2 linked regions of the Lytechinus pictus genome follow. The protein of the gene in region 1 purifies or fractionates together with the protein of each later gene. This does not show direct contact. Links are inferred from orthologs where the notes say so. Each region holds a gene or a part of one and is shown on either strand. Other genes may lie near its edges. The genes, in order: cytoskeleton-associated protein 5-like and SLAIN motif-containing protein 2-like.

What was found.
Region 2: the proteins of cytoskeleton-associated protein 5-like (region 1) and SLAIN motif-containing protein 2-like purify together in Homo sapiens (affinity purification with mass spectrometry; 4 studies listed by BioGRID and IntAct, counting the BioPlex papers as one, with this or other methods). This does not show direct contact. The link is inferred for Lytechinus pictus from reciprocal best matches to the Homo sapiens genes CKAP5 and SLAIN2.

Annotation. Positions count from the first base shown.
Region 1 is NC_087253.1:4,052,630-4,068,974, reverse strand, and holds the start of cytoskeleton-associated protein 5-like, read left to right. Parts: upstream 1-9,268; 5' UTR 9,269-9,353; intron 9,354-16,345. UniProt on the Homo sapiens protein: Binds to the plus end of microtubules and regulates microtubule dynamics and microtubule organization. Acts as a processive microtubule polymerase. Promotes cytoplasmic microtubule nucleation and elongation. Plays a major role in organizing spindle poles.
Region 2 is NW_026974140.1:15,919,955-15,935,467, forward strand, and holds the start of SLAIN motif-containing protein 2-like, read right to left. Parts: upstream 7,866-15,513; coding exon 7,623-7,865; intron 1-7,622.

The sequences.
Region 1 (16,345 bases):
TAGCTTTGGAAAATGGACACTTTTTATTTGGGTGGGGGATGCAGTAAAGTCAGTTTCTTAGAATTATTATTATTTGTTTGTCGTCACCTGTGCCTGGGAGGCGAAAAGAGAACTGAATCACTGTGGCCTGCAGGTCTCTCCTGATATAACTGATTGGGGGAGTGCAGGTGGACCACTACACCGGGGTATCCCCCTACTCTTATACGAATAGTGCAGTGGGTTCTTAACGTGCAAAGGTGGTGACTCTCCTCTACCTGGGGCCTCCATTCAACATCCTATCTGAGGGATGGAGTGTTTTCCACTGTAACATAGCCTGCATCTATGGAACAGGGGAGAGATGTTTACACACAACGCACTGGCTTCAGTCATCCGCCCAGGGGTGGACTCGAACCCATGATCTTTGGTTCGACAGGCAGACCCTTTACCGACTGAGCCAACTTCGCTCTCAAATTGTTGTCCTTTTTGAAAATAGATGAGAAAATGTTAATGATACTGCTTGTGCCTGGTGATATATGTGTCTTAAATTTGAAAGTACTTTTATTTCCAGAAACAAAATGTAAGTGGAAGCCTTTGTGCGAGTTGTCAGCCATTTTTCTAAAACCGTGGCGAAATGGAACCCCCTAATCCTCTGTGCTTACCATCTCCAAGGGCTAAGTCCCAAAATATTTGGTACTATGTGAGGTAGAGTTTGTGTTCTTGCTATGTTTCAAGTATGCATTTATCACATCACCGCCTTTAATTTCTATGGCCCGTATTCTGAAGTCGGGTTTAACTTAAACTGAGGTTTAAAGTTGTGGTTTAAGTATGGACAGCCAATTGTTACATAATCACTAACAGTAGAGATATCATACTTCAGCTCATTCGGCTCTCAAATCATTCATAATTGTGTAGGAAGTATAAATAGATGATTGTCTTCACCATCGATGAATCAGGAAAGAGCACAGTAAACATAAGAAACATACAACTTAATAAAAATTTTGATACTTTTGGCTTCCCATACTTAAACTACAACTTTAAACCTAAGTTTAGGTTAAACCCGACTTCAGAATACAGGCCTATGAAAACAAGGCCATTTACAGATGTACATGACCTGTACTCTTAGACCAAGTATCACTTAGGCCATGGTCTAACTCTGCTAAAATTATGGGAAGCTAAAAATTTCAAATTTCTTATACACACAATCTGCCTCCATGGGAATCAGTTTTAGTGGTCACTATAGGCAGGTGGCCGCTATAGAGAGGTAGCCACTAACACAGGTTTGACTGTATTTTGTATTCTACATATAAGCACTGGTGGTCACCTTTTTTGGATTCAATTTTAACTAACATTAAGATTGTTACCACAACTGGTGTTTATATTAAACAACCAAAGACAATTAACATAACAATGAGAGTGACAATTTGATGGCAAAGTTACGATAGTGATTTATTTTTTTATTTGCAAAGGGGGGGGGGGGGGTGGTCCAAATAAAATCTTATACTAAAGAAATCTATGTGAAGTGCTCAGATCATTCATTAAGAAAATCATGTTGCAAAACGGCTATATTTGTAAAATACAATATCAAAGATATTTTATGTTGTTGGTACGATTTCTATACTGGTATATATTTTGATGATAAGTATTTTGTACACAAAGAATTTTATTCCACTTTCATGTATTGTAATATTGAGTGTGTGAACATTTGTGTCATATTATATAAGACGTGAGCAATGTGTACAGGTTGAGTTATATTTCTGCAGATTAAAGGAGAATGAAACCCTTGAAACCAGCTGAATCCATATCAAAGAGAACAATCAAAGAAACATAATGTTGAAAGTTTGAGGAAGATTGAATGAATAATAGGAAAGTTATGAGCATTTGAATATTGAGATCACTAATGCCATGTAGATCCTCCCATTGGCAATGCGACCAAGATCTGTGATGTCACACACGTACAACTCCCTCATTACTTTAGTACTTATTTCACTTATATTCTCACTTTTATAGAGTCTATCACAAGGTGAGGTGTTCTCTTTATGAGAGGACAAGTACAGAGGTTTCACAACATTATATCATTGATGAATCGTTTGTCATATGATTAGAATGAGCAAAAAGAGACGTTTTGGGGTATATTTTCAGTGTCCAAAAGGGGAGAGTTGTTCATCTGTGACATCATAGATCTTGGTCGCATTGCCAATAGGAGGATCTCCATAGTATTAGTGATCTCGACATTCAAATGCTCATAACTCTTCTATTGCTAGTCCTATTTTACTCAAACTTTTGTTGATCTTATTCTATGATTTTTCTGCTTTCACAAGAGCTAACTTGCTCCAAGAGTTTCATTCTCCTTTAAATTCTCCAGACTCATCGGCCTGTATGGTGAACTCGAGTACAATTATGTCCCATCCCAACTTTGAAAGAATTCCAGTTTAATTGGTTTTTTTTTAAAGTAAAAATGTGTGAAGAATCAATGGAAAGAGGTTCCCTCATTTATTTTGATTTAAAATGACAGAAAGAAAATATGTGGGAATATTAATGTATTATTTTGATTTATACATTGTATTTTGTAATAATCTTGTTCTGAATATATTTGATTGATTGCAATGTTCAATATCTGGCAAGTTGTAAGTAACGCCAGGGCCACGTCTTACAAAGAATTACGATTGATCCGATCAATCTCAACAATATGGACATCCACCACTGCAATTGTCTTTTCTAATAAGGGAATGGCAATGAATTTTCAAGAAAAAAAATGTATGAATATACATTAGATCTAGAATATATTTTGAACAAATAACAATTTTAGATGTTGACATTGCTGGCTTTCCACAGTTGTGGTTGAGTGGATCTATCGTAACTCTTTGTAAGACGGGGTCCAGGGCCCTATAAAAGTTGGCAATCAATTGCTACATGCCAGTGACTGATCAAGATGAGCGTGGCATGCTCATTTTGCTTAAAGACATTGACAAGGGTCTAATTACAGTAGTTTTTTTTATATTTTCAATTCATCGCAAACTCTTGTGTCACTGGGCCTGCCACGCAGTTTGTTGAAACTTTGAAAAGAAGAAAACGATATATTTTATTCTCTTTGCATTTTAAGTGTGTGAATTATTGAGTATAGGTGCTTTATATGTTCATTGGTGTAGTAAACTGAACAGGTTGTTTTGTTGTCAATTTATGATCAGGAAAATGAAATTTCCTTTAATGATTATCTTGGCTGTGAAAACCTGTGTATGAGAAATTACCTGTAAGGAATAACTGACATTATTTACATTACACTGTGGTATCATTTGTGTTTACCATGGATTCAACTGTTTTCAAATAATTTGAAAATAATGCATGATTTCCCAGATAATGATTAAATACATTGAAAGTATTGACATTGTAGACTATTATAGATATAGGAAAGTAGGAAGATGGGAATGGTCATTTTGAACTATCTAATTCTTTTCATGATATGAAGATAGAATTTCATTCAAATGCCATCACATTGAAAGTATAGTGAATAAAGAGTTGAAACTATTACCCAGACTATGTAGTTTTCGTAAATTTAAGTCCCACACATTCTTATCTGTGTGCGGATTGAGTCAAAAGTTTTATCATGAACACCAGTTCTTTGGTGCATTGTTATCAGCCATTTTACAATAATTTTGACACAGTTTCCTCTATAATTTGAATTTGAAACTAGGGGGTGTTTCACAAAGATATAAGTATGACTTTATAATAGGTCGCACTTAAATGAAGACACATACATGATATGCAACGCACAATCTTATTGATCAATACACAGTAGTGTGCGTCCTCCAGCATGATCTGACCGATGCAGTCATGCCTTTTATACTGCACGCAGCTAGACATTTAAGTGCGACTCTAGGTCATACTTAAATCTTTGTGAACCACCCCCCCTGAACTCTTAACTTTAATTACATGTACTACACACATTGTTTAATTTTTATGTAACGACTGACCTTGAGAATCATCATTTGCCATGTGACATGTATTATAATTAGGTAATCCTAAGAACCCTGTCGGTGGCGAATCCAGGTAGGGGGGTACGTCCGAACCGTGCCCCCCCCCCCCCTTTGAGAGGCACACAAAATATTTTTAGGGGGATATGTCATGGTTAAATTTTTCTCTGAACCAATGAACTCCATTTTGGAGTGAAAAACGTTTTCTTTTTGCTTATCAAATTTTTCTTGTAGAAAATATGCCCCTCCTTTTGGAAAATCCTGGATCCGCCCCTGATCCCTAAGTACAATTGATTGATAATTGATCTGAACTTGCTATTACTAAAGTTCCACAAATGTTTCAATGGGAACATCAATCTCCTTTAGATGGTAGAAAGTGTCTGCATGCTCCAGGTTTCGGAGGCTTCTGTCCTCCCTCCCCCCCGGGGGCAAAAAACAAAAACAAGAAAGGCGCACTTTGTTTTGATCTATCTCACACTTTGAACAAAGCATTGAGCCATGTATGATGCCAATTGTCAACTCCCGCATCTAGTGAACAAATATGTACGGCCGCCAGAGGAGGTGGTCTTGACATTGATGGATATCTTTGGTCACATGACAGGGTTTAGACCAATCGCCTGCCACAGATTATTATGATGGATATAATGAGAGATATCACTCAACAAGCAGGAAGTCTCCAGAATTTTCCGGCTCCGCGCCACTCAAAAGTCTCAGAAACCCGGTTCAGACACTTTCTTCAACCTGGAGAGAACTGGGCCCCGTCTTACAAAGAGCTACGATTGATCCAATCAACCTAATCTGTATGGAAATTCATCAATGGCGTAATTTTTTTCAACAGGAGATTTGCACAATGTCCTTTGTAAAGAAAGACAAGTCCACTGGACTTTCAAGGAAACAATGAATGTGTGAATAATAATAATAATAGGCATTTATATAGCATCATCTATCTAGAAATATTCTATTCCGAGGCGCGTTGCTATTATTATTATTACCCCGGCTTTATCTCGAGCTGCCTCTCAGCACTCATGCATTCAAGGAATTAATCCTGCCGGGTACCCGTTTACCTCACCTGGGTCGAGTGCAGCACAATGTGGATAAATTTCTTGCTGAAGGAAATTACGCCATGGCCATCATATCTAGGAAACATTTTGAACAAACATACATTTTAGTCTAAAATGTACATTTGTTCAAAATTTTTAGGTGTTGGCTTTGATGGCTTTCCGTAATTGTGGTTCAGCAGATCAATCGCAACTCTTTATAAGATGGGGCCCTTATGTCCATGTTGAAATGTATTTAGTTGTAAGCTTTGATCATCCACTCATTATTTTTCAGGAGATATAACTATTGAATTCATCACAGGTGTCTAGCTATCATATATTTTCTTTGGTATATATTGAAACACAGAGTTGTACGAATGTCTTTATATGTATCTATGTTTTGTTTATATTTGTTGACAAATCATGTGCATTCTTACCTGTACATAGGAAATATTAAAGAAAAGAATTCATATTCTAAATGTCGGAATAAAGATGTAGTTCGAGTGTTTATTTTATATATTAGCTTCCTCTGGTGTTCCAATATTGTTTTTGAGATATTTTTTAGTTTGTAGTGCCCCCCCCCCCCAGTCAAATGTCAAAAATGCTACTCTGTTTGTCTTGTTAGGTTTAGAATACATGGCAAGAATTTATGAAGGTTACATAACCCCCTCCCCCCCCCCCCCCACATGTAGCCTCAGTGAGACTGGCAAATGAGCTGATAGGATAGACTATTTCATGAAAAGCTATCTCAGCAGCGATTGTGCAATCCCTGATTTTGGTACAAATGTTGGAAATGCCCAAAGTCCCTTATTTTGACACCCATATCAATTTCTAAGGGTGTCAGCCTTTTTTCTCATTATTTTGGCCTTTTGTTCTTGAGTTTGTATTTAAATGCTTTCATTAGCTGTCGGCTTAATTAATATTTCACTGATTTTGCTCTCCGATATCCTATAAAATACATCAGGATGATGCGTCCATTCCTGAACAAATCCTGTTATCATTTTTACTTGTTTGCAGAGGCTAAAATTTGCTGTAGACCATAGTTTTGTTTAGTAGAGATATGTACGATTTCACCCCTGATGCTATATCGCTGCAATGTGTATGTCTTGATAAATGTGGTGGTGATGATGGTTCTGATGGTGGTGGTGATGATGATGGTGATTATATTTTTACCTGATTTGATGAACATGATTTTGGTGGTGATGATCATGATGGTGATGGTTGGTGGGAGTGATAAATGACATTTGCAATGTTGATGGTGGTGATTAAGTTGAGTGATCTAGTCATGATCTTGTAATGTTGCTACGTCATGAAAAACAGTGGTTACATCATTCTTCTAATGCAGTGGTTCGTTTTCTTTGATTCTCTTCCATTTTCTGCTTTTGCTTTGTTAATAGGCCTACTTCTATTCGTTCTATCTGTGCTTCCTCTTTTTCTTGTTCTTCCTCCTCATATGCTCTTCTCCCTGGCCTTTATGACTTTAGAGAGGGGCCCGGGCGGCGATTAAGGGGGGGTTAGCCCTTGTTGCTCATCAGTGATTCAATTTTTAAAGTGGGGAAAAATGAGAAAAAGAAATAAAGGAGAATACAGGCCCCCTATAAAAAAGAGATCTGTATCATGTTACTTTATTGGAATGATGTGACGGCACTTCCATCTAGCCTAAATTATACCCGAACGTCACCAGTGCCGCCAGCCCTGCTCAGAGGATTTTGATTTTTATCCCGTTGTCCTCTTTTATGTGAACGGGAAGGGGTTTCCCCGCGGCGCCCATGGCTGCTACATGTAGACTTAGTTGTATTCTAACAAGGAGTTTTAAGACATGGAGAACCATCCAACACTTTCCCTATAGCCACTTTGATGCTGCAATGATAAAATATGTTACACATGTTTTTCATTGCATATTTCGTGCAGATTGTAGACAAAAGATTCCTGCCTAACTACAGTGCGTATCAATAAAAACGGGACAGTTTTGAAAAGTCTATCAACATTTTGTTTGAAATTATGATGTCTATATTTTAATATTAATAGATGCTCTTAAGTCTTCTCTTTCAAATGCCATTAGAAAAAGAAGTTTCCTTCATGCTTGAGCGAACACGAAACGTTTTTGTCAGGGGTTCAAAAAAAAGGGCTTGCGCCAAATGGCAGAAAATGAGAATATATTGATGATCAGACTTCTAGCTATCAGCAGCCGTCCTCTCAACATTTTCATTATCTTTGCCATGATTTTTTAATTATGCTGTCAAAAATCATTTACAAAGCTACATGTATTGATTTACTTGAATTCAGGGAAGGAATAATTTTTTAATCTTAGGGGCTATTTTGCCATATTGGGGCGATGGCTGAATTCTGGTGGTATTTCTTTAATTTCAAGGGTACGCGGTACATTTCTCCCCAATGAGTAATATGCTCTGAAAGCATATTTCATTATTCTGACGTAGAATATTGATTTTCTTTATATCTTGAATATTGATGGGGCAGATAATGCGGCAACATCAGAAAAGATGATTGCCCCAAGGGCCATTTTACACATTTTTTGGGGGCTGTCATGGGGGCGAAATCGCCCTTCGCCCTCATATTTTCACTACACTGGCCTGAATTGTTTTGTGTTTTCATTTAAACAGCTTATCTTTTAGCATTGAATATTCCTTCATAAGTAAGAAAAACAACAACTTTTTGTCATTCCATGAGCTAGGAGATTTGAATTGTCTATGCTGGGAAGAGCTTGTAAATGATATAAAAAAAAATATGTGCAACAAAGATTATGATGCCTTTGAAAGACATGAATCCTATTGTCAAGGGAACATTGATTCCTTGAACAAGTTAAATTGTGTACTTGACAGGACAGTATTGTTTAATATGTTTTTCAAAGGAACCGTAACCTTTGTAGCACAAAATGAAATGATTTTGATAAATTACAAGCTTCCTTTAACAAAGAATATCCCCTTACCTGGGTTAACAATAATTTTATTCATGCTAAAAGATATCCCAACAAAATAATTCAAGTAAATAGAATAGTTTTGTAAATATATTTTTGACAGAATAATTCAAAAAGTTATGACAAAGATAATGAAAAGGTTAAGAGGAGTCTGCTGATTAGCAAAAAGTCTGATGATCGATATTTTCAATTTTCTCAGTGCCATTTTGGCGCAAGCCTTTTTTGAAAACCTGACAAAGACGTTCGTGTTCGCTCAAACATGAACGAATTATTTGTCTAATGGCATTTGAAAGATAAGACTTAAGAGCATCTATTAACATCAAAATATACACATTCTGATTTCAAACAAAATTTTTGATAGACTTCAAAACTGTCCCGTTTTTGCATGCACTGTAGCCCTATACAGACTTGCAGGCGAATTACAAAAGGAAACATGCTTTTGTAATGATGATTACTTTACGCTGCTTCTGGTCGAATAACATGAGCAGACACGTGGCTCACTTTTACACTGGGGGACAGCAAAAATGAATGTTGCAATATTTCTTGAAATATGATTTGAAATTATTTGACTGGCCGCATTTGGCCGCAGTTCTGGCACATGGCATCACAAATTGATACATTCCAACAAACTAATCATAACCGTGACATTTTTAGTGTAAAATGTTGACTTTAAAAATGTCAAATTATTCGGTTTATCACAATTTGAAACTGTTATCATTCAATATTTCGCCCAATATCAGGCACACTGCGCCTTTGATATATAATTCGTCATGTGTTCAATATCTATGCATGTGCTTAAATGAAAGTGGAAATATTCCAGCAATAATTCTAATTCGCCTCAAATCATTTTTCAGTTTTTCCATGAAACTGACGGCATCACAGGTCGCCACCAAAGGCTACATATTGCATCTATGTATTTCTTTTGTACTTCTTTACAGGGGCCGCGGAAGCGGGGGGGGGGGGGGGGCTTCAGCCCCACACTTTTTTCCAAAACCGTGTACAAAAACGTAAAAATTACCATAGCCTATGAGTGGCGATTTTTTGCATGGTCAGCTAGCCCCCCCCCCCCCCCCCCACTTTGAAAACCGTTCCGCGGCCCCTGCTTTATAAATTGGAAGCTCTTTGCATATCGTTGTCACTCCATTCTTTTTACCTCCATGATTCTAATCAGGCTAATATAACATCTGAATGGGACAAGAGGAATTTTTATCAATCAATCTTTCACCAAATTTGAATGAACCGCGAGCGTAGCAGACGGTTTTTGTCAATTAACAACACAATGGGAAAAGCACACAAACCTTTGACACGCGAAATCACTAAAGTGAGCTGTATTAACCAATCACGGTCGAGCTCTCATATTCACGGACCCACATCCGATTTGAAAACATTTCAGAGATATAACGGGACGGATTTAGACTTCTACTGCGAAATAGGGTAAGTTTTATCTTTTTAAAAACTTTTTGACGAAATTTCTGATATTTCAAGCAATGCTAGTTAAAGTAATTTGTTTCTCTATTAAACATTCTATGATTTTCCCATTGGAGAAGTTGTAGCGACGTGATTGACAATTATCTCCAATTGACTTTGCACATAAACTAAGTTTTGAGTGCAGTGCAGACTTTGACTGAGAGAGACTTGACTTGAGCTGTGCCTGTGGCTGTGATGTGGAAATGTGCAACCGTGTCCGTGTGATGACGAAGGGGAAGACTCGGCTGCAAAGACATGCCTGCCGACTGAAAATGAAAAGACGGTTTATGAAAAAGAGAGTGAGAGAGAAACTTCAATTGTTCTGAGACTTCTGTGTGATGACAATGACATGACAATCGAGTCAATGAAATAATAAACAAGAATCAAGATGAATTCAGTGAATTTGTGCTTGGGTTGGGGATCATTCATGATCATGCCTTTTCATGGGGATGGTGATGATGTTGTTGACATTATTTGTTGTTTCTGACAATAAATGTCTGATGCCGAGCACGTTACTTAATGGCCAATGTCATGAATATCTGTATATATGGCGCAGTTTTGTGTTGGCTGACTTCAACTTCAAGAGAATTTCCCCTCCAGTAATCGTTCGCAAATGTCAGCAATTCTCTCAATCACATTGCAAGCACCCACGGCTACATGATATTGATACATCTCAGCCGCCGACTACAGAATAATTGAAGGCACGGCGCATTCAACAAATAACATTAATTTACGAGAAATTAATACGAGGACTTACAGAATGAAGTCCTCCTACGAAACTTACGAAACGATGTGAAGTCAATTCCTCATAATTTGATGAATATCCCTCAAAATGCGTCATTTAAGCGTTGATTTTTCTTCTCGTTGACAAAATACGAGAGCTACCTTTCTAGCTCTCAAACTTTTCATCTAATGAGCGAAAGAGGGCGCGCGATTTATCTTCATATCAAAGTCCAAAGACACTACAATTGAAAGACTAGACACAGAAATTATCTTACACGTAAATCGATGCAAAGCGTTACGCGAAGTCGGCAAAGTGTTCAATCTTTTTACTGTAAAGACTTTGGTGGAACATTAATTGACAAACGAACGGTAGCACTTGCGGGGCTTTGTTCAAGGTACATAGAATTTTCTATATTTTTTGTTTAATTTGTCATCGTTTTGAATATTTTCCAAAAAGTATTATCGTCAGCAAAAATAATAAAAAAGTATGTTTTTTAAGTTATTGCATTTATTGGGGTCTATATTTTATCAAACAATTATTGGAATTGCGCATACAATGAATCATGAATCTAGTTTAAAAAATACCACCAAGCTGAATTAAGGTTGCGAACTGTATTAGCGCCACCAACGACCTTCCTTTTATTTCCGTGGAAGAGACGTGCGAAGCCACTTTCCAGGTGGAGGTAAGCGATTTTGCTCTTTTTTGTGTCCTTTTTAAATTAAAAAAATATGTTAAAAATTGATAATGGAACGCTTTCTACCAGAAAAAGCCCTGGTGAGTAGCGGAATGGGTTTCGGCTAACATCATTCACGTTATGAAGCGATGTTAACGGCAACTCTAAAATCCACTACAAAAACACGTTGGTTGTGCGAGGTTCGTATAGCATCCATATACTAACCTCGCAATAGTGTGAGTGATTGCAAGGTCAATATGCCCCCCACTTTTCAGAAAATTGCTATCGGGAACTGCTCTATTTCGGCCTCGATGTCATGTCATCGTTTTAATTCTCAGACATCGCTTTGCTTAGTTGGATCAGATTTGCTGTAATTTTGGATTGAAGTTACTGACCAAAATCTTGCAAACATGTGGCGAACAAACGGATGAGCTGCCGCAGACGCATCTTTTGGTCGCCAAATTCCTATCAAAACTAAGGCGAAGCCAAGCATTGCCAAGGGAAGCGATGTCTGAATATGAAATCGACGATGACCTCGAGATCCAGCCAAATTACGGTACTGCCGCTACCGATCGCGATATTCAGAAAAGTGGTGGGTGTATTGACCTTGAAGTGATTGAGAGACTTGCTATGAAATTTAATTTCACTTTTACTTAGGAAATTCAGCTAATTAGCACCCCCATGGCCATGTCTTCCCCAAAAAATGAACTATTTAGAAGTGTAAACATTCATGAATATCTTTTTATTTCACATAAATGTCAATTGATAATGTTTCTGTGCACCTAGAAATTAATTAAGATTTAAAATCATGAATTTATTTTTATTCCACAAAAACTTATCTAAGATGATGTTTCTTGCATGTACATTTAAATGAGTACATGTACCAAAAGTCTCATAGGAATGTGAGAGAAATGATTTTCTTGGGAAACACCTTGGCTTTATACATGTATGTGGTCATATTCAGATTGAACAAAAAAATGGTGCCCAATGTCTGCACACCCATTCATGTAACAGATGATTCAGGAATTTTGATGAGAAGGCTGCATTTTGAGGCCATCACATTATAAAGTACCTGAAATTCAATTTATTTTTGAACAATTTTGAGTCAGATTTTTAAAAGAATATTGTCCTTATTCAATGCTCCACACTAGCTTTTTTTCTTGGTGGCCCGCTCGATCGGTCCACCAAAATCATCAATTCTTGGTGGCCCGAAAAGCAAACAATAGAAAGCTTTACAATTTATCAAAACTTTGGTAGCCTGACTGGGACACCAATTGCAGGCTTTTACAAAATTTTGGTGGCCCGACTCATTTTTGGTTGCCCCGGGCCACTATTAATGTCGAGCCCTGCCTTATGGAAAGATGTAGATTTTGTGGTCCTTGTGTGTCTTCGCTTTTGAATCGTGCAGATACGCATACATGTACATGTACATTATGTATGTGCACCTTACTATAAGAGTGGCAAAAAAAACTTTAAAAAAGAAAAAAAAAATATTGGAAAAGCCTCGGTCAGTCATTTTCAGATTGAAAAAAATAACCGGTGCCCCATGCATCCATGTCTGCATTGCAGCCATTAAAGGAGAATGAAACTCTTGGAGCAAGTTAGCTTTTGTGAAAGCAGAAAAATCAAAGAATAAGATCAACAAAAGTTTGAGTAAAATAGGACTAGCAATAGAAGAGTTATGAGCATTTGAATGTCGAGATCACTAATGCTATGGAGATCCTCCCATTGGCAACGCAACCAAGATGTATGATATCACAGATGAACAACTCTCCCCTTTTGGACACTGAAAATATTCCCCAAAACATCTCTTTTTGCTCATTCTAATCATATGACAAACGATTCATCAATGATATAATGTTGTGAAACCTCTGTACTTGCCCTCTCATAAAGAGAACACCTCACCTTGTGATAGATTCTATAAAAGTGAGAATATAAGTGAAATAAGTACTAAAGCAATGAGGGACTTGTACGTGTGTGACATCACAGATCTTGGTCGCATTGCCAATGGGAGGATCTACATGGCATTAGTGATCTCAATATTCAAATGCTCATAACTTTCTTATTCATTCAATCTTCCTCAAACTTTCAACAATATGTTTCTTTGATTTTTCTCTTTGATATGGATTCAGCTGGTTTCAAGGGTTTCATTCTCCTTTAACTTTACACAATATTCAAAGATTTTGATGAGAAAGGTTGCATTTTGAGGCAGACAGGAAATGCCTGAAATTCAATGTTTTACCACATTTTTTGAGTCAGATTTTTAAAGGAATATACATACATGTAGATACATGTCTACATGGATGTATCGCAGGTGTAAACTTTAGTTGTTGCGGGTCTTTTAATATTAGAATAGCGTATGTTACACGTACATGTACGTATCGAGGGGCATTGCACAGACTTCGGGCACCTTACCATACTCGCAGCCCGCTGGGTCTGGCAGACTTGGCACGGTCTTGGGCATATGTACATGTATGTATGACAAGTTCCCGCAAGTCTGCGCACACGCGTATCTGCGCGATTCTAGTAAAAGAAGATACGCAACGAACACATACTTTACACATGCAATACATAGACAGATGTTCATTAAAAAATCTGACTCATAATGGTGGAAAAATATTGAATTTCGGGCATTGCATGTGATGGCCTCAAAATGCAGCCTTACTCATCAAAATCCCAGAATCGTGTGCAAAGTGAATTTGATGATTTTTGTTATAAATTTGAAATTTCCATCTTATAAGGATTACCACCCAAAGTTCCAAACAAATATTGAGATCACAGACAGTTTACATGTATAGTGGGCTAACCCCTCATGACCTCCCTACTGTATAGCGCTTTGCCATAACTTCACATCACAAGCATTTTTTTATGCTTGAAAACAGCATGACTTGAGGTACAATTTGAGAAATGATAACTTTTCTTAAAGAGGGATTACAAATGGGTAGAATCTTGTAGATGCAAGAGGGGGGCATGAAGTTGTGAAATTATGTACATTAAAAGTTTCTTTTTTATATATTAAATGTCTATGAGACTCCCAATAAAATAAATGTACATGTAACACAGAAATGTGTTTAAATTTCAAATTACTACATTGTAAAATCAATTAAGAAGCTTGTCGGAGAACTTCCCAAAAGTGCTCCTGGGCAAGCTAAAGGACTACAACTAGTACATCTGTACATGTACATGTCGTACTAGTTAGTACACTGTACATTACATACTGTACATGTAGCAACTTTGAAGATTATTCAGGTATTTTGTTTTTGTTTATTTTCTATTGCCCCTTGGCTTACCTACTACATGTATCTGTTGTACCCGCAAAGTGGTAAATAAACAGTTTGCGATAAAAAAAGATTTAAAGACTGGCTGAGTGGATGATATGAAAAAAAAATCATGTAGAGAGAGAATCAAGTGCTTGTATTGTAAGTGCTGCTAGTTTACATGTACATGTATGTTCATATTGGGTTATTTACATGTATTTGCCAGGCTGTAGGAAAGTGTATCTACTGATTCAGCGTGCATAGGAAATGCTTCACAGGAAATTTTGCCGTCATGACGGCTCAAATCTCCCCTAAAATTCCCCCAATTAATGCATGCTTTTGGGGGCTGCCATTCTTTCTAGAGTTGCCCCAAGCAAACAATATTCAAGATTATTAAGAAAATCAATGTGCTATAAACTATTAAATGGTAGAATTTAATGATATTTGCCTTTAATGCAAAATTGTTTGTTGCCCCTAAAAAGTAGCCCTTAAAAATGAGAAAAATAGCCCCCGAAATTTTGCAATTGTCCTAATGTAGAAAAAAAAACGGCTTAAAAAAAATAAAAAGTATTTCCTACCCTATACTGATGCAGGGCCCAGATACATGTAAACAGTATAATGTGAATTCCTTTAATCCTTTTGCAAGTGCACTTTCAAAACAACATTACAAACACATATTTTCTTGTTGATTTCAGGGCACTGACTGACAGCATACGGTCTGTCTTTGTTTAAATACAGATATGTCTATTCCAAATGCATATGTGCATTTGTCCCTCCAGCATAAAAGAATTTAAAAGTTTAATTTAATCACATTTATCTTTTTTACAGGTGAGCAGGTCTAATCTGATGAGAAAAAAATCTAAACTTTAATAAATTAAAAGTAGAGGAGGGGAGGGGGGGGGAGGTAGGAACAATGAAATTCTTCTACATTCTTCACAGTTCACATCTACATTGTACATGTACAATGTACATACATGTATGTGTTCATCTGAACTTACATGTAACTACACATGTATAAAATGAGAGAGAAAGAGAGCTCAGAGGAGAGAAGGGACTTTGATTCGATGTGTGTATATACTCAAGCACGCAGGCCTTCATCCTCAATCTGAGAATCGGATAGAAAGAATACCGTACACATGATGTACTCACACACATACAGATAGTACGTAAATTTACTTGGTCTGAAAGGCAAGACTACTTGCAAGTTGAGGTGCAATTTATGTAGTTGGAATGGGCATTATTATTATCAGTGGCTGCATTGGAGTCTGCATGTAATGATGCGACTCACTGCTGGGATGCACCCCGACAACGGATGACTCATCCTCCATGTCTATAAATACAATTGCTGTCTGGATAGTCTGATTTCAGACCCATAAAAGACATTATTACAGACAATGCATATGATGGAGTGCATTGTTTTATGAAGGGGAGTGTCAACATGGAAAGATTTCCTGAGTGTATAATGAAAGTTTGTTCCTTTTCATGAGAGTCCGTTTCTTTATTTTCTAAGAAAAGAGATGGATATTAGTTGATGCATGGAGGTTTGGGCCTGCTTGTATTGTATTATGTACATGTTCATAGAATATTTTAATATTTTCTCGGTATTTTGTATACAGTACATGTGTTTACAGATAAAAATGTGTTGCAGTTTTTATCATTCTTTCAGACCAAAAGAAAATAAGAATAGAATACTGTAAGTTGCAAATCAATAAAGTTTAACTGTTTACATATTAACGAAGATGTTTTAATACTATTAATAGACAATTTCATAGGAAAGAGGCAAAGTCATTCTGTTTTCATGTTCCCCATTAAACCATATAAAACACTTTGTACACTCTCACACGACGAAAAAATTTTGGGCTCTCCTCTGACATGTTAACATACAATGTACATGTACCAGACCTGCCAACCAGTACGTTTAAGCCGTATTTAGTACGTTTTTGCAACCAAAATACGGCAGTATTTTTTTTTTTTTTTTTTATACAAAATCGTTATTTATTGAGAAAAATCATCTCTATATGTCTCTATTTCTTAAAAGTTACACAAATATGGTTATTAGATCAATGTAATTTCAGGTAACTTGTTTTTTTTTTCAATCATTTTGTAAAAACCAGGGTGAGATATACACAAGTTTCAATGTTTTTTTTTTTCATCTGCAAGAGCAGTGCGCATTTTAGCTTGCATGCAGCTTGAGCGCCGTGATGGGCGAGTGCGCCAAGCATTTTATTATGAAATACACTTTTTTTGGGGAAAATACAGTTTTTTGTATCACAGAATACAGTTTTTCATTCCCAGAGGTTGGCAG
Region 2 (15,513 bases), on another chromosome or scaffold:
AAAGAAAATACTGCAACCAGGACCATGTACAGAACATACTTGTGATACTCATCTACATGTAAGTCCGAGCTAATTCACAAGATATCTTTATTACAGGTATGGATGATTTAATTTTAAATTCATTTTATTTCACCATTCTCTAAAAGTAGATGGACAAATCGAAATCGTACACCCTGACCTTTCTCACTCTAATAAAATGCAACCTAATGAATTCTGGATTTATGGTTGACTATAGCAGAGGCACTTTGCAATCCAAATTTGTCAGTATTGGCATACATGTACACGTTTTCTTACCAGAACATGTGAACCTACATATTGCTTTAATTTTTATATTGAGCCATCGCAGTAAATAAATCTAATAAAAATTCAAATCACTGTGAACATGTATATTGTACTGGGTAGACATGTACATGTACAGTACATGTAGGCCTTCACATAGTAATCCCCTACAATTATGATTGCTTTTTAATACAAAATTGTATGCTCATACACTAATACGGATACGATGAAAATTCATCGGTCAATACATTTAATTTTAAAAAAACCTCAAGCTATAAAAACTACAAAAACAAAACATCTTGGGCTACTATAAATGAAGTCCAAAAATGTACTGATAGAATCCTCACAAGTACACACACAGTTTTTATATCAGGCCTACACACATGTATATACCACTACAAATTACAAGGAATGGCTGTTGAAGTATTAAGCCAGATGTTCAAGAACTTCTCAACATCCAAGGCCTTTATGAGTTTTCAGCCAAAGACTGGATAACAGCTGCCAAAAGGGGCTACCATGTGTCACGTGTTCAAATGAAAAAAAATGCACTTTTACTACATGTACATTATATTACATGTTTATCTGCTGTGTGCCTGTGTAAAAACCTGTCCCTTGTTCTTGAAAATGAACAAACAAGTATCTGTCAGCAATGATCAAATTATCATTTCCTTTGAAAATACTGCATTTGGGGCATTTTTCTTTTGAGTATCCAGCAAACATTCAGTTAGGCATACAGATGTAGTCCTATAAACCTGGAATGGAGCGGAAGGTATATTACATAGCCTACTCATCAAAAATATTTTTTTTAAGTAACATTGAATTCTATCAAGCATAATAGGCTATTAAAAAATAAAAATGATGCAGTTCAAATGAAGAAGTATATAATAGGGGTGCTTCAAGTGCTTGAATGTCATTTTCAACTACGGGTCTTTCCAGATAAACACATACATTATTTCAGACAACCAATTGTTACATCTAATTTCTCAGCACATTGATGAAATTCAAATTTATTTTTGCCCAGTCAAGAGTATAAATTCCTCTTGACAGTTTCTAGGGGAATACCCCCTCCGGTTATACTTTACGCACTCCAAATATGGAAGCAGATTTTGCCTGACTCACTACTCTCTTCTAAACCATACCATTGCAATACAAACATACACTGTCTGGCGGGGGCTAGCCTTGTGTGATGTAGACTCATCTTACCACAAGTTCATGGCAGGTACAGCCAAGGTTTAGTCTGGATAACAGTCATTCTTCAGGCATAGTCTCTGAAAACTTCTATAGCCTCAATGAAATTAAAGACATGACTGAAGTGAAAGTGAAGAAAGAGAAGAACATTGGGTCTACAATGTACACTATTCAAGTACTCTGAGAAGAAAAATGTGCCTAGGTTTCATTAGTACAATTTACATAAGCTTCTGGCGGAAGACATCCAGCTTTCGTTGACTTTATATTTTCCTTTTATTTGCCCCTTCAATGAAAAAAAGAAAACATACAAGGAAATATATAATACAACAGCAATTAATGTAGGAGTACTTTCACCGTAAGTGACTGTCCAAAACTAGTTTTTTTTCTGTGTGTCCACTGAATGTAATCATATTACTATCAATGTGCTGCCTTAAGTGTCTCAATTGATCAATTCTAATTAGCTGCTCTCATTAAAAGAATTATGAAAATTCAATTTGCATTATAATGTTGATGACCCAATGTCATTGTAAAGTATCATTGTCATCAATGATCATGTGTCTACACAAAACATACAATGAAAGTCTTTGCATACATGTACATGCACTAAAAATTAAAAATCAAATAAAAGTAGGCCAAATTCTGAAAACATTCGAGAGGAGAAACATGGTTTTATTACAGCCAGCTTCATCATGAAAGAATCTGTTTGAAGTTAAATACTGGCACTGTACATAATTTAAAATGACAAACATTATCTGTGGAGGATTCATCAAGTTAAATGGGAAGATGCATCAAGCCCTATGGAATGACTGGATCCACGTTGGCTTGGTGAGTCATCGCTGTAGTAAAGATGTGACTGCCCTCAAGTTCACCAACAGGTGAATACAACAAGAATTACATTTGATGTAGAATGTTTTAATGTAAATATGTGGATTGTTACTGCATAGTAGTTATTGTAGTCAACATTATATACATGTACAAGTAGGTCTACATAATTGGTCCATAATGTATTGTTGCATTATTTATGGGCACAGCCATATTTATTCTTATTTTGTAATTTGCAACTGTAACTCTGCTGGAGTTATACGTAGTATACATGTACATGTACAATGTATGTAGTCACACAGGACTCGAAGTGAAGAAATTAGTTGCAAATACAATGAGGCAGAACAAATCAGGGGCAGATTCAGGTAGGGGAACATCCGGCCCATGCCCCTCTCCCCTTTTGTAATTTGAAAGGCACAAAAAATATTTTTCTGGTGGATATGTCATGCATACGCAAGCTTGCTTGTCCAATTTTCCTGGAACAAAATTGCTCTTATTTGTTAGTGAAATCTATTTTTAAACTTTAAACTTTTCCTGGATAAAAATTGCTTTGATAATTTCTTAGTGAAACCCTTTTTTTTTTGCTTGTCAGATTATTCCTGTGTACTTTCGAGGTTATTATAGTAATTCAACAAATACTCCCAACATGGCCAAAGTTCATTGACCCTATATGACCATTGACCTTGGTTATTTGGCCTTAAACTCGCATACGATGTTTAGTGATACTTGACTGCTCTTACATGTATGGACCCCTATGAAAAACAACATTTGCTGATCTGGGTGTTCCGTCCCATGAGTGGTAAATAAATAAATGATAAATAAATAATGAATAAATTTCATAAATAAATAAACAAATAAATAAAAAAATAAATAAATAAAAAGTCCAAGTTTCATGAAGAAGATCCATAAACTTTCAACAACAAAAAAGTTATGATGGTAATTAAACAATTACCCCCCAACATGATAAAAGCTCATTGACCCTACACAACCTTTGACCTCAGACAGGCAGGATGTTCAGTGATACACCGTTACCCTTATGTCTAAGTTTCATGAACTAGATCGATTAACTTTCAAAGTTTTGACAAAATTTCAAAAGCTTAACCTTGGCTAAGATTTTGATGTTGATTCCTCCAACATGGTCTATTAAAGTCCATTGACCCTAAATGACCTTTGACCTTGATCATAAGACCAGAAAATCAAGCAGGATGTTCAGTAATACTTTATTACTCTTTATTTCCAAGTTTCATGAACTGGGTCCATATACATTCTACTTTATGATGACATTTTGAAACCGTAACCTTGTGTTAAGATTTTATGATGATGATGCCGCCGCCATCAGAAAAGCGGCACATTAGGCCTCACTCTGCTTTGCAGGCTAGACAAACATGGATGCAATACACATTCATTGCTGCAGCTTATTTCATTAAAAGGGAGAAATATCATTCACACATAAAAAAATGAAATCATAATTATGACTTCATGTAATAACATATTAAGGGAAAGTGGGGATGTGACATCATCCGCCTGCCTAACAAATATTCATGACTACGTGCATATAACTGTTTTCACAAAATATTGCTAAACTTTAAAATTCAATAACTTCTTTACTTGAATTCCGATTTGATGAAATTTTCAGCATTTTGCTCAGTGAATTTTACTCTGTTTATTCTGATGTAAGAACATTTATTTCACATAAAAAACCATACTAATATTACAGAAAATTACAAAACAAAGAAATTGCTCCATACATATAAAAGAGAGAGAAAAAAAGACATACAAAAAAATTTAAATACAATAGATTATTTAATAAATAAAAAATTTAAATACTGATTTTAAATAATTATTTTAAGAATAATAACTATTTAAAATCAATATTCAAATTTCATCATTTAATAAATAATAATCTTAATCTATGAATTGATCTTCATAACATAGCTCATTGAAGCTACATCATATTGAAGCGGTTGGGTCAAGTCTATTGTATTTGCAGTGTTTACGAAGGGATACACGACATCGGTCTGGTAAGAAACCTCTGATTTTTCTTCTTTTTTTCGAAATTGTACTACCTTTATACGCATTAGGTGTATAATAGGATCGGTAGTTCCAATGTTAAATATGAAGGGATTTCCCTTCTTGTTTTGATAGTTCGCTAGGCAGTCCCATATGCGTGTCTAGTAAGGCTCTTATCGATAACGTCTTTATCGCTAGTCCTTTCGATAATCCCTTGTTTTTTGCCACTTAGCGATATCGATAACCTTTCTCTCGTTGTTGATAGTACCTCTATTATGTAGGGACACAGTAATTTTCTGTGATTTCACGGAAACGGCCTTTTGAAAGTGGCTTTTTAAACAGAAAATTATGGAAAACATATTTTTCCTCAAACTGCAGTGAACAGTCAGTTACTCCAAAAAACGAATACTTACTAGCCACAAGACACGATATCTCACCCCCACTTCGCTATAATCATGAAAATCCAATCGTCGAGACTGCACTCGACTTCATTCGATCGAATAAAAAACATCACTAGCGTAAGCTCAAATATTAGTACTAGAAAGGCAGCACACGGCCGTATGTGTGTTGCTGCCCTCTACGCTCCGGTTAGTCTAAAAAATGGTAATTTAGAGCCAGTAACAGTTTCCTCGCACATATTAATTCACTGCCAATTCCAAAACAACGCAAAGGCAAATTACGCATGCGCAGAAATCGCAGCACAATTCATGAATATTCATGAGCGGGACTAAAGATCGAGATCTTTCGCATTTGTATCAGACCTTGATCTATAGTCCCACTCATGAATAGGAGGATGGATATGGAGTGAAATTAGAATGAAAAGAAGTTTTTTATTCTTTTTAAGGTCATGTTGTTGCACAAGTTTTATATTTCCCCTCATAAAATCCCACCTTTGTCACTTGAAGTATCAGAGCGAGTTTTGTACCTTGAGGTTTGGGAAGGAGTATCGTAGTATAGCGGTAGTGAAGTGGAGCCTACACGAATATCACTCTTGAGCCTGAGGTAACGTAAACGCCATGCCTCCTGCACCCATGGGTTCATATCATCTCGCGTGCGAAGGAATATCAGTCATATGCACGCGACACACACGACACATCCAAAATATACTGGGCTTTTGCCCACATAAAATATCACGCATAATCTGGTATTTCACATTCTGCTATGACACTTAACCGAATCATTTAGATCCTTCCGTGACTTCTCCTTGAAGTTTCTTTTAAAAAATATGCATATTTTCTTGATCTGTAGTGAAGATTTCACGGAGATAAATATTGGTCAGCGTGGATATCAATTTTCGCCTAAAGAGGGCGCGCGATTTATATTCATATCAAAGACACGACAAGGGAAAGACTAGGCAGTGCCTAGTCTTTCCCTTGTCGTGTCTTTGATATGAATATAAATCGCGCGCCCTCTTTAGGCGAAAATTGTAGGCACCTACACTATTTTACACGCAAATCAAAGCAAGGCATTACGCGAAGTCCGTGAAGTGTCTAATCCTTTCATTGTATAGACTTTGGTATACCGTATTATTGACGTACGTTAAAGCTTGTACTGCTGGTTTCGTTCCAGGCATGTGTATTTTTTTCATTTTTTTTTTATTAGTCATCGTTTTAAAGGTAAATGCTAGTTTTGGTAACGATATCAAAATGAGTTCGTACAGAATCCAATGAAATCACCACCAAATAGTCTGTTTGTATTTTAAAACGCATGTGCCAAAGGATTCTGGAAGAAATTGTGTAATTGCTGAGAAATCAGCAAATAAGCACAGGATTCGGGTAGAGCGTCGGGCCCGACGCTCAAAGCAATAATTATACACTGTCCCACGTGCGCTTATCTGTGTTGGGGAAGTTCAGTCTGAACATTTTTCAGCGTAGATTTCAAGATTTTACAAAGTTCAGTTTATGTAACTGTACCAGATCTAGATCCTCGATGATATACTGACAATTAAGCCTGGTTTTACAGACTTTCTCATGAAATCAGTGTTTACTGCAACTACTGGAATTTCTCTTTAAATTAATTGCAAAAAAGTGTTATCATCGCCAATAGTAATCTTGAATTATCTTTTTGAAGGTATTTTATTTATTGGTGCCCATAATTAGTAAATTAATCATAAGAATTGCGCATTCAAAGAATTTAGACACAGTTATAAAATTACCAAGGAGCTGAATCAAGGTTGTGAAATTTATTAGCGCCCCCAACGGGCTTCCTTGTATTTCTGTAGAAAAGACAAACGAAGTCACTTGCTAATGGCAATGCTAGGCCGAGGTAAGCAAAATTTGCTCTTTTTGTAATGAAATTATTTACAAATCATAGTATAATTTTTTGATGTATTGCTACATATGGTTGGAACTACCCCTTATCGACCACCTAATCTTCTAAGCATCGTATCTGCGAAAATATTCATCAATTTTACCCAGTTTTTGTCTCATTTGTGCAGAAAATTGAGCAGATCAGATTCCCATGTTTCGCTTGGCGACTCCGATTCAATCCGCGTATATATCGACGAACAACGAATACGACAATTTTACATTTGCTCATTTGCACCCGTCTTTTGAAACCGACCACCCGCGATACGCTAAGTTTACGGCCGATTCTTGTCGCGGTGGCGAAATATTTTTACTCTTCAAAATCAGTTCTATGATGTCAACATGCTAAATTATCGTCTCACTACTTCCATTGCGAGCTCCGGCACATGATTCGACGATTGACGACGGATATTTGTTCTAAAGCCATTTCCTATCGGATTTCTTGGTTTTTCAGCAAGGTTTGGGTCTGGTCAATACAATTTTGATTACCGTAATTCTACTAAATTTTTACTTTTTGTTGCTTCTTTTTTTCTTGTAAAATCGATTCTTACCGTTTCTAGCTATGGACACTGCGCCTACTCTCCCGCACGTATCGTTTGTAATACGCAATCATTTTAACGCGCGCAAGGTGGTCGGTTTCAAAAGAGGTGGTCGATATGTGGTAGTCTCACCATACCGGAAAGAGCCCCGGTGCGTAGCGAGGAGTTTCGGCAAATGTTACTTCAGCAATGAAGCGATGTTTGCCGACTACTTCGAAAATCCAGGGTCAAACACGGTCCCTTGTACGAGGTAATAGTATATAACCTCGTAGTCGTATTACTATTAGTGTGAGTGGGCGCTGGCTATAAATCTTTTTCTTTTGCATTGCTTTCACTCAAGTTTCAGGCTTTGCCTTTGGCTTGCCTTTGGCTTTGCCCGGGCTTTGGTTTTCTTTTTTTTGTGTTGTTTAGAATTAGACTAGAGTCTAAATACTCACCAAGTATCATCATCTGAATCTCCTAAATTAGTGTCCAATACTTTAACTGCATCGAGAAGACCTTTATCAGAGTTTTTTGTCCTTGTCTCATTTATTTTTCCCGATTTGATATCTCCATTAGAAGTCAGGTTCGTGTTGGCTTCTGTCAATGGCAGAGTTCCATTCGATGCCGGACTCCCGATTGCATCCGCTTTGCTTCGAAGCAGTTCGTTCTGTTTTTCAAGCTTTCGGACCAAATCCTGAAGCTTTTTCACTTCAATTTCAGGGTCTATAGTGTTCTCCATGGTTTTATACCTAACTAGGCTCCGATAAATGTGAAGATTTTCGAAGAAATCAACGAAAACAGCAATGTTTATCTGACGTTCCTTTCCTTTTCACGGTAACCTACTCTTCGCCATGTTGATTATATTGCAATAGGCTGCGCATGCGCAATTTGGGCTGTGGCTTCTATTTATGTAGTCTAGTTTTTACAGACACTATCTTTTTCCTTTTTTTGGGGGGGGGGGAGGGGGTAGTAGAGTGGACAAAAATGCAATTTTTTTAAATCAAGACAAGTTATTTCCTCATTCTGATAACATACCATAGGATATAGGCATATTCAGGCTTCTGATTTTAGTATTGATCGAACTTTATTATAAATAACAATTTTGTAGGACCAGTAGGGTCTAGAGACTCTAGACTATACTAGACAGCTGTCTGTTTTGTGGAGTTTTTTAATATTTTTATTTATTTTTTTAAATTTCTCCTCGTATTTTGGTGAGTGGAGCCAACGGAGTTCAGCGGAACAACCAACATAACAGAGACCAACGCTTTTGGTCTAGGTCTATACTAGATCTATGTATAAACGAGCTAAAAATGTCGCAGGGGGGCACATTGGAAATTCATAAAAAGTCGCGAGCAAGCGGAAGTTTGGGCATGTTTAACGATGATGATCTAATTTTGTGTTATTTTGACAAAATATCACACAAATTATAGTATCATATTTTATCGTTCCCCCTTTCCTTTTCTTTCTTTCCCCTTTTATTTTCGCCCCCCCCCCCCCCCTCGGACATGGATTTTTATTTTTAGGGGGAGGCAAGAGCCTGCCCCCATCTGTACGCCAGTGATATTGTAATGAATTTCACCACAAGCACACTAGGACCTGTCATTGGCTGACAAGCAAGGGGCAAAGGGCGTGGGAAGGGAGCACTGATGTCCCCTCTAGAGGAGAGTGGAAGCATGGTCAAAGTAGTAGGTCCATGGTGGAAGGGAGCATGTAGTTTGAGGGCATCCATCGGTGCCATATACAGATGGGGGGCTTGGGGCGATTGCCACCCAAATATTTTACGCCCCCCCCCCCCGGAAAAGAAAAAGTAAGAAAGGAAAGGAAAGAGAGGAGGGTGAAATATTATATGATTTTCTAAATATTATGTTCGCTAAAAATGTTGGCTCATTAGGCCGCTATCATCCATGCATGGAAAGAATCACATCTCAGTACTGGGACCTGGGAAGCGGGGGTGCTGGGGAAAATTTCCTGGGGGTGCTGCGTGTATTATTTTCCATAGGCAGCACCCCCACGAAATTAGGTTCCCCCTGTATTTTTTAAAATATGTTATAATTCACATAATTATCACATCCGACAATCGCAAATCATTTACATAGTCTTTTACATATTCCAATAACATCCCTCCTAAACACGACTCAATCAAGCTCTGGCATTCCGATACAGAAGTGTTCGCGCGCGATACTTGCATAGTTTACACATTTGGTTTACCATGGACCTATCACTATCATTCGTAATAGGTCCATGGGTTTACACACTACTCGATAGCAGCATGGACCTATCCATGATAGCAGGGAGAGAAATATGGGAAATGGGTGTGGTTGGACTTGAAACTTCCAGGTTTTATGTCGAATCAAGTGTGCGCGCGTCCGACCTCCGGCGTGTTTTTTTTTTATAATCAATTACAAGTAAGACAATAGAAATCAAATTTCACAGTCTTTTTTGCCCTGCCCCATGGTCCTGGGAAGCGGGGGTGCTGGGGGTGAAGCACCCCCAAAATTTGGGGGTGCTGCATGTGTTATTTTCCATAGGCAGCACTTCCTGGAAAGCTAGTGGTAGGTGTGATAAATGACAGAAATGAAATCAAAATGAACGACGTTTTGTAGAGCCCCCCCCCCCCCTTCAGAATTTTCCGACACAGTACTTAAAATAGTGTTTAAATTCTTCACCCCTTTTCAGATCGGAATATGAAATGTTTTCTGCTCGCGCTTCGCTCTCGCGTTATTGATTTTTATAATTAAAAAAAATGTATGTAGAATGCCCAGATACTAGGTCTAACTCTAAACATGCACACGCATGTTTATTCAGATACGCAGCTTGTTTGGGGGGTACTCCGGGCTGAAAATATTTATATCAAATACATTTTATCAAAATAAATAAATTTTATGAAAATCTGATAACGAATAGTTAAGTTATTTAATTCTACAGTTTAGCAATAATTTATGAAAATTGTGATATGCATGTCATAAATACTTAATATGTGGGTTGACATGGGCGGAAATCTGTAACCAAAGGTAGGGGGGACCAGTGCCTGTAAAAATTTGACAAGCAAAAAAATAAAATAAAAAGGTTTTCACCAAAAATGTAAGGTCATTTAGTCCAAAATACATTATTATTTGATTGTGAAGTTATGTATTTTTCTCCATCATGAAAGACCAAAAATAGTACTAGGGGGACATTTGATCTTGTGTCCCCCTACTATATTTGGTAGGGGGACACGTCCTCCTGTCCCCTCTGGGATTTTCGTCCATGTGGGTTGAAGATGTCACATCCCCACTATCCTGTTTCGTGTGTTATTACATGGAATCACAATTGCTTCATTTTTTTCATACCAGTGTGAATGATATGTCTCCCTTATAATGAAATAAGATGCAGCAAAGAATATTTAATGGACTAAATCAGTTGTCAATTAAACTGTTTTTGGTTTTTGAAGGGAAAATATTGAATAAACCTAATTATATTAAAATACAAAAGAACAAGTGGGGATATGACATCATCAGTTTTCTCATTAAATATTAATGAAGACATGCTTAAAACTGTTTCACCGGAATAATGCTAATCTTTAAAATGCAATAACTTTGATATTCCTTGTCGGATTTTGATCAAATCTTTATTCTTATGTTCGTCTGATTTTTCTTTATCTGTTCAAACCATATTACATTCAGTGCGGAGTAGATCAAAATATCAAAAAATTTCTGCTCGCGCTTCACACTCACATTATTAATGTCAAAATATATCCAATTACCCATCATTTTCTTGATTTACAAAACATGAATAGAATGTCCCGTTTATAGGTCTGAAATCTCAATTTTGTTTCCGCTCGCGCTTCGCGCTCGCATCAATACCTATCCTGTTCTTGATTAGAAAAGTGCTTAGAATGTCTTGTTTTTTGGTCTAAAATCTCAATTTTGTTTCCGCTCGCGCTTCGCGCTCGCATCAATTGTATAGTTATATACTTATCCTGTTCATGATTAGAAAAGTGCTTAGAATATCTCGTTTTTTGGTTTGAAATCTCAATTTTGTTTCCGCTCGCGCTCGCATCAATTGTATATTTATATACCTATCCTTTTCATGATTACAAAAAGTGCTTAGAATATCCAGTATTTAGGTCGGAATGTCAAAATTTTCAGCTCGCGCTTCGCGCTCGCATTATTCGATTGTTGATAGATGTATCGTCTTAATGGGTAACTGCAAATAGTCCTTATAACACGTCCCTTTCGATCAGGCCAGAGCGTATATAAAAAATATCTGCTCGCGCTGATCACGTTCCCAGTTATTATTTGTTACATACGCATCTTGTTCCGAACCACACAAACATTGCTCAAAATATCAAATTTTCAGGACAAAATACATGAAATCCCTCCCCTCGAAAAAAAAATAGCTCGCGCTTCGCGCTCGATTTATCTAACTACATGTATATGTTCTTTTGTAAGAAGAAAGCTAAGAAGTGACTGTCATATATATATATATATATATATATATATATATATGAGGGTGAGGGTGTGTGGGTGTAATTATGGAAAACTTAATTGTGTCCCCCCCCCCCCCACCTTTGAGGAGAGATTTCAGCACCCCCACTGAAAAAATCGTTCCCAGGTCCCTGGATTCCAGTGAAAAGGCTCATGACGAATTTTTAGCACGTGTGAAACCAAACTAGAACATGGTTAGAATCACGAACGCTAATCACAATCACGAATTCAAATTTTTACTCCAGATGCGAATTCAGTTTCACTCAAAGTACGGTACGAATTTTGCGTGTGAAAGGCTTGACCTATATACTAAACATCTTTTGGGGCGGAGCTTGCATTTCTGTAGATAATACAATGAGCCCCAATTGTGACCCCATCCCCAGTCAATCATGGATCCATCCTTGAATCGAGGAGTTACTTATTAAACTGATTATCTCATGAATCTCATGAATGTGTCTAACTAACTTTTGAGAAAACTATTTTTTAGAAAGAAAACAGAATAAAAAAAGACACGCCGAAAACCTAATCAATTAATCTCAAACGACCCCCCCCCCCCAAAAAAAAAATAATGCAAATCTGATTTTTAAAGACAGCCCAGTGGGTTCGAATTACTGCTCTCGTCCTCATTATGTTCAGCGAGTTTACAATTCTCTGGTCTATCTGATTAAATAGAGGACAGTATTCTTTTCAAAGTGATTTTGAATGAAGTAGTTTCATGTTGAAGAAGATGAACTTTACTACTGCGCCACCAATCGACTAAGTCGAGAGATGTTTCGAGGGCGGATAGCTTTATGATCGTCTGTTAGAGGCGGGCACAGTCAAATGCATTTATTGATCAGCAGCTGATCATATATACAGGGCACCAGTACACCTCCAGAAACATAACACTTTCTGCTCAACGCTAGACATCAGAACAAGGAGAGGGACTTAAGAACAATAATAGGTATGTAAATGCACTTTATTTCAAATAAATGTATTTGTTATTTGAAGATGATGATACATTATTGAATGTTGAAATTGAATTTCATTTCATGTCTGTTTCGAACAAAAAATATGGATTTTTATCTTCTTTTTTCTTTTCATGTTGCTTTGCAATTGATTTTTTTACAGAATTACGTTTTCAGTCACCAGCGATTTGAACTTTTTGTTATTACGATCATCAATCTGTGTGGGTTCATTTTGCCTTATTTCTCATGTTGTCGATCCCTTCGTCATATACCAAGCTTAAACACTTTGAGACGGGATTAACATCTCTCATATTCAAACCGACTGTAATGCACATCTTAACGCAAAATTTTGTCTTCTTAACAAAAAATCAAGGCAATGAAAAAGAAAAGTTCCAAGTCCGAACCATCACAAGCGAGGACTGGCCTATACAGGCCTATACCTTTTATCAATGTATAAATTCACTTATGGGTTCATTCTGTAAAAGGTATTTTCATAATTTGGTTGTCATTCAATAATATTAATACTACGATCAGGAATAATGAGTAAACGAGTATTTTTGTTTGAGCGTATGATCAGTAGGCCTATTGATATTGAACACTTCTGATTCTTGAGAGTTGTAAACAATAAATGATCAGTGACCCGAACTGACCTATGATAAAAAACAAACTGCTTTATCAAAGTATATCATGCTTAGAACAGGTCACATCTACCTCGTATAGGGCTTTTCGCCTTGATATCATTCGTGCATTATATTCACGTTATTGTGGCGATCATAATGCTTTTTGTGAATCTTATAATAGAGAGGGAAAATCTCGCGAGGCTGTTTGCGATCGACCCGAACAATGCAGTGTTTTGAAAGGCAGACGCCAACTAACGTGTTCCAATGTCGCTTGAAATCTATTTCACTCAATAATAGTCTCTGTATAATGCCAGCGATCATCAACTATGATCAACGTTATGTATATTGTACTGACTCTTATTATATTCCCCCTTCATATTCCAGTCTGATATGTTTCAGAGATGATTTTCATCAACATCCCTGGGTTCCATTATTTTGTTGTGGTTTTCATTTTTGTGTTGCCAAAATTATATGGCCCTATAGAACCAGAGTATGATTAACATTATAGTATTATTGTATTACAATCATATAGCGTTTAATAATCATGGCTTACGTTTCATTACAAGAAATGAAACAATGAGTGATTATACTTTGCACCATTGTGGTCGATCTGACCCCCCTTGTTTTATGAAATGCTGGATTAAGTAATTTGATTTTGAGTCAGAGATCATTTTTTTTATTTACGTAACGAGGTCTGAATTTCAGCCTAAGAAACAGCTGCGGCAACTATATTATATCAAATTTAAAAAACATATCAATATTATGCGTGCATGCACACAGGCGATTCGCTTACATACACTATATCATTCACGGGATCAAGAAAATATTTATATTCAGTGAAGGATTTTTTTATAATGAAAATTTATTTATTCCAACGTTTGCACTATAAATTCATTCATCATTATGATAACCCTCGAAATCATATTCATTCTATAATATGCTTTGGTCATATCATAGACCTAGGTCCATGGTCATATGCCTCGCTATATTATTTAGCCCTTTAAGTGTGAAATCCAATCTGGATCTATAATGAGAACCAGATTACCTGATCATTTTGACTGCGTTAATTTCTTACGTGGTCATAGGCCTAATGCAATTTTCATCAATGATGCATAAAAAATCCAAAGTCTTTCTGTTGCCATGCCATGGCAACAAAAAGACTTGATTTTTTAAATACTGTTTTGCATGCATTGCTATATAATGTTTGGAAAAGTATATAAAATAAATAATATTTAATTTTGGCAACAGCAAATTCGTATCCTTGACTCACAAATCCACTGTGCAATGTAAATAAATGTTTTTTAAGCCCGTATACAGTGATGATCGCAAGTGGCGTATGATGAGAGTTAACAAAAATGACGGGTAAGAAGGTGGCGTATACATGCAGAGACACTTTCTAAATAGTCGCGATCAAGCAAAAAAAAATCAAATCTAAAAAGATGGAAATCGAATTATGTGACGTATTTTACGTAATAAATTCTAGTTTTTTCCTTTTCCTCATTAGTTTTGCTTTTTTTCTCGGTATTTTAACATTTAGAGGGGTAAGTGCCCCCACATTGCCATCATCTGCACGCCAGTATGATGTTGAAATAAATCAAAACATTAAAGTCATAAACACTATTTTTTAAATTTCATTCTTATTTTTTCTATTCATTTATTATTATTTGCGGGGAGGGGTATCTGAAGACCACCCTACCCGAAACTTTTGAAGGCTGTCAACAAAATCCACTGTGGCTGTCATCAGAGTAATGCTGAGAGTGATCTAATGTATTTTTTACTACTGAATTTTCAACATTTCTTACATTGTTGTTGTATATTGATGTGGGCTTATTGATTGTGATGTTTGAAAGTTCTTACATTTAAGCCGTATATGCGCAAGAAGATAGAGAGAAAAAAGGTCCCTTCATCCGTTCCTCTTTTACCATACAAAAAGTCGTCATGAAAATGATAATTAGGATAAAGAGAAATGAAGCGTATTGGAAGAGTCTGTCAAGAACTCGGTGAGACACGTGAGAGTCGCGATATAGAATGTCTAAAGGGGGAGACACAAAATGAACAAACATGACGAGATAGAAGCGAAGAAAAAAAAAGACTGATTGTATGTAGGTTTGGGAGTTACTGAGGAGTGTTAGATTTTAAGGGAGCATCAAAAGGGGAGCATAGCGACGAATGTTGACGTATGCTGACGAGTATCATTTGAGACTTCAACAGAGTAGAAGAGAACTGATGTTTGTTCCTGACCACAACAAACCCGATGGCTAATAAGATTGACCTTGTATGACCTTGCCCTTGATATCAAAATGAGGTCACGAAGGGTTAATCATATGACCTTTGACATTGCAAAACATCTGCAA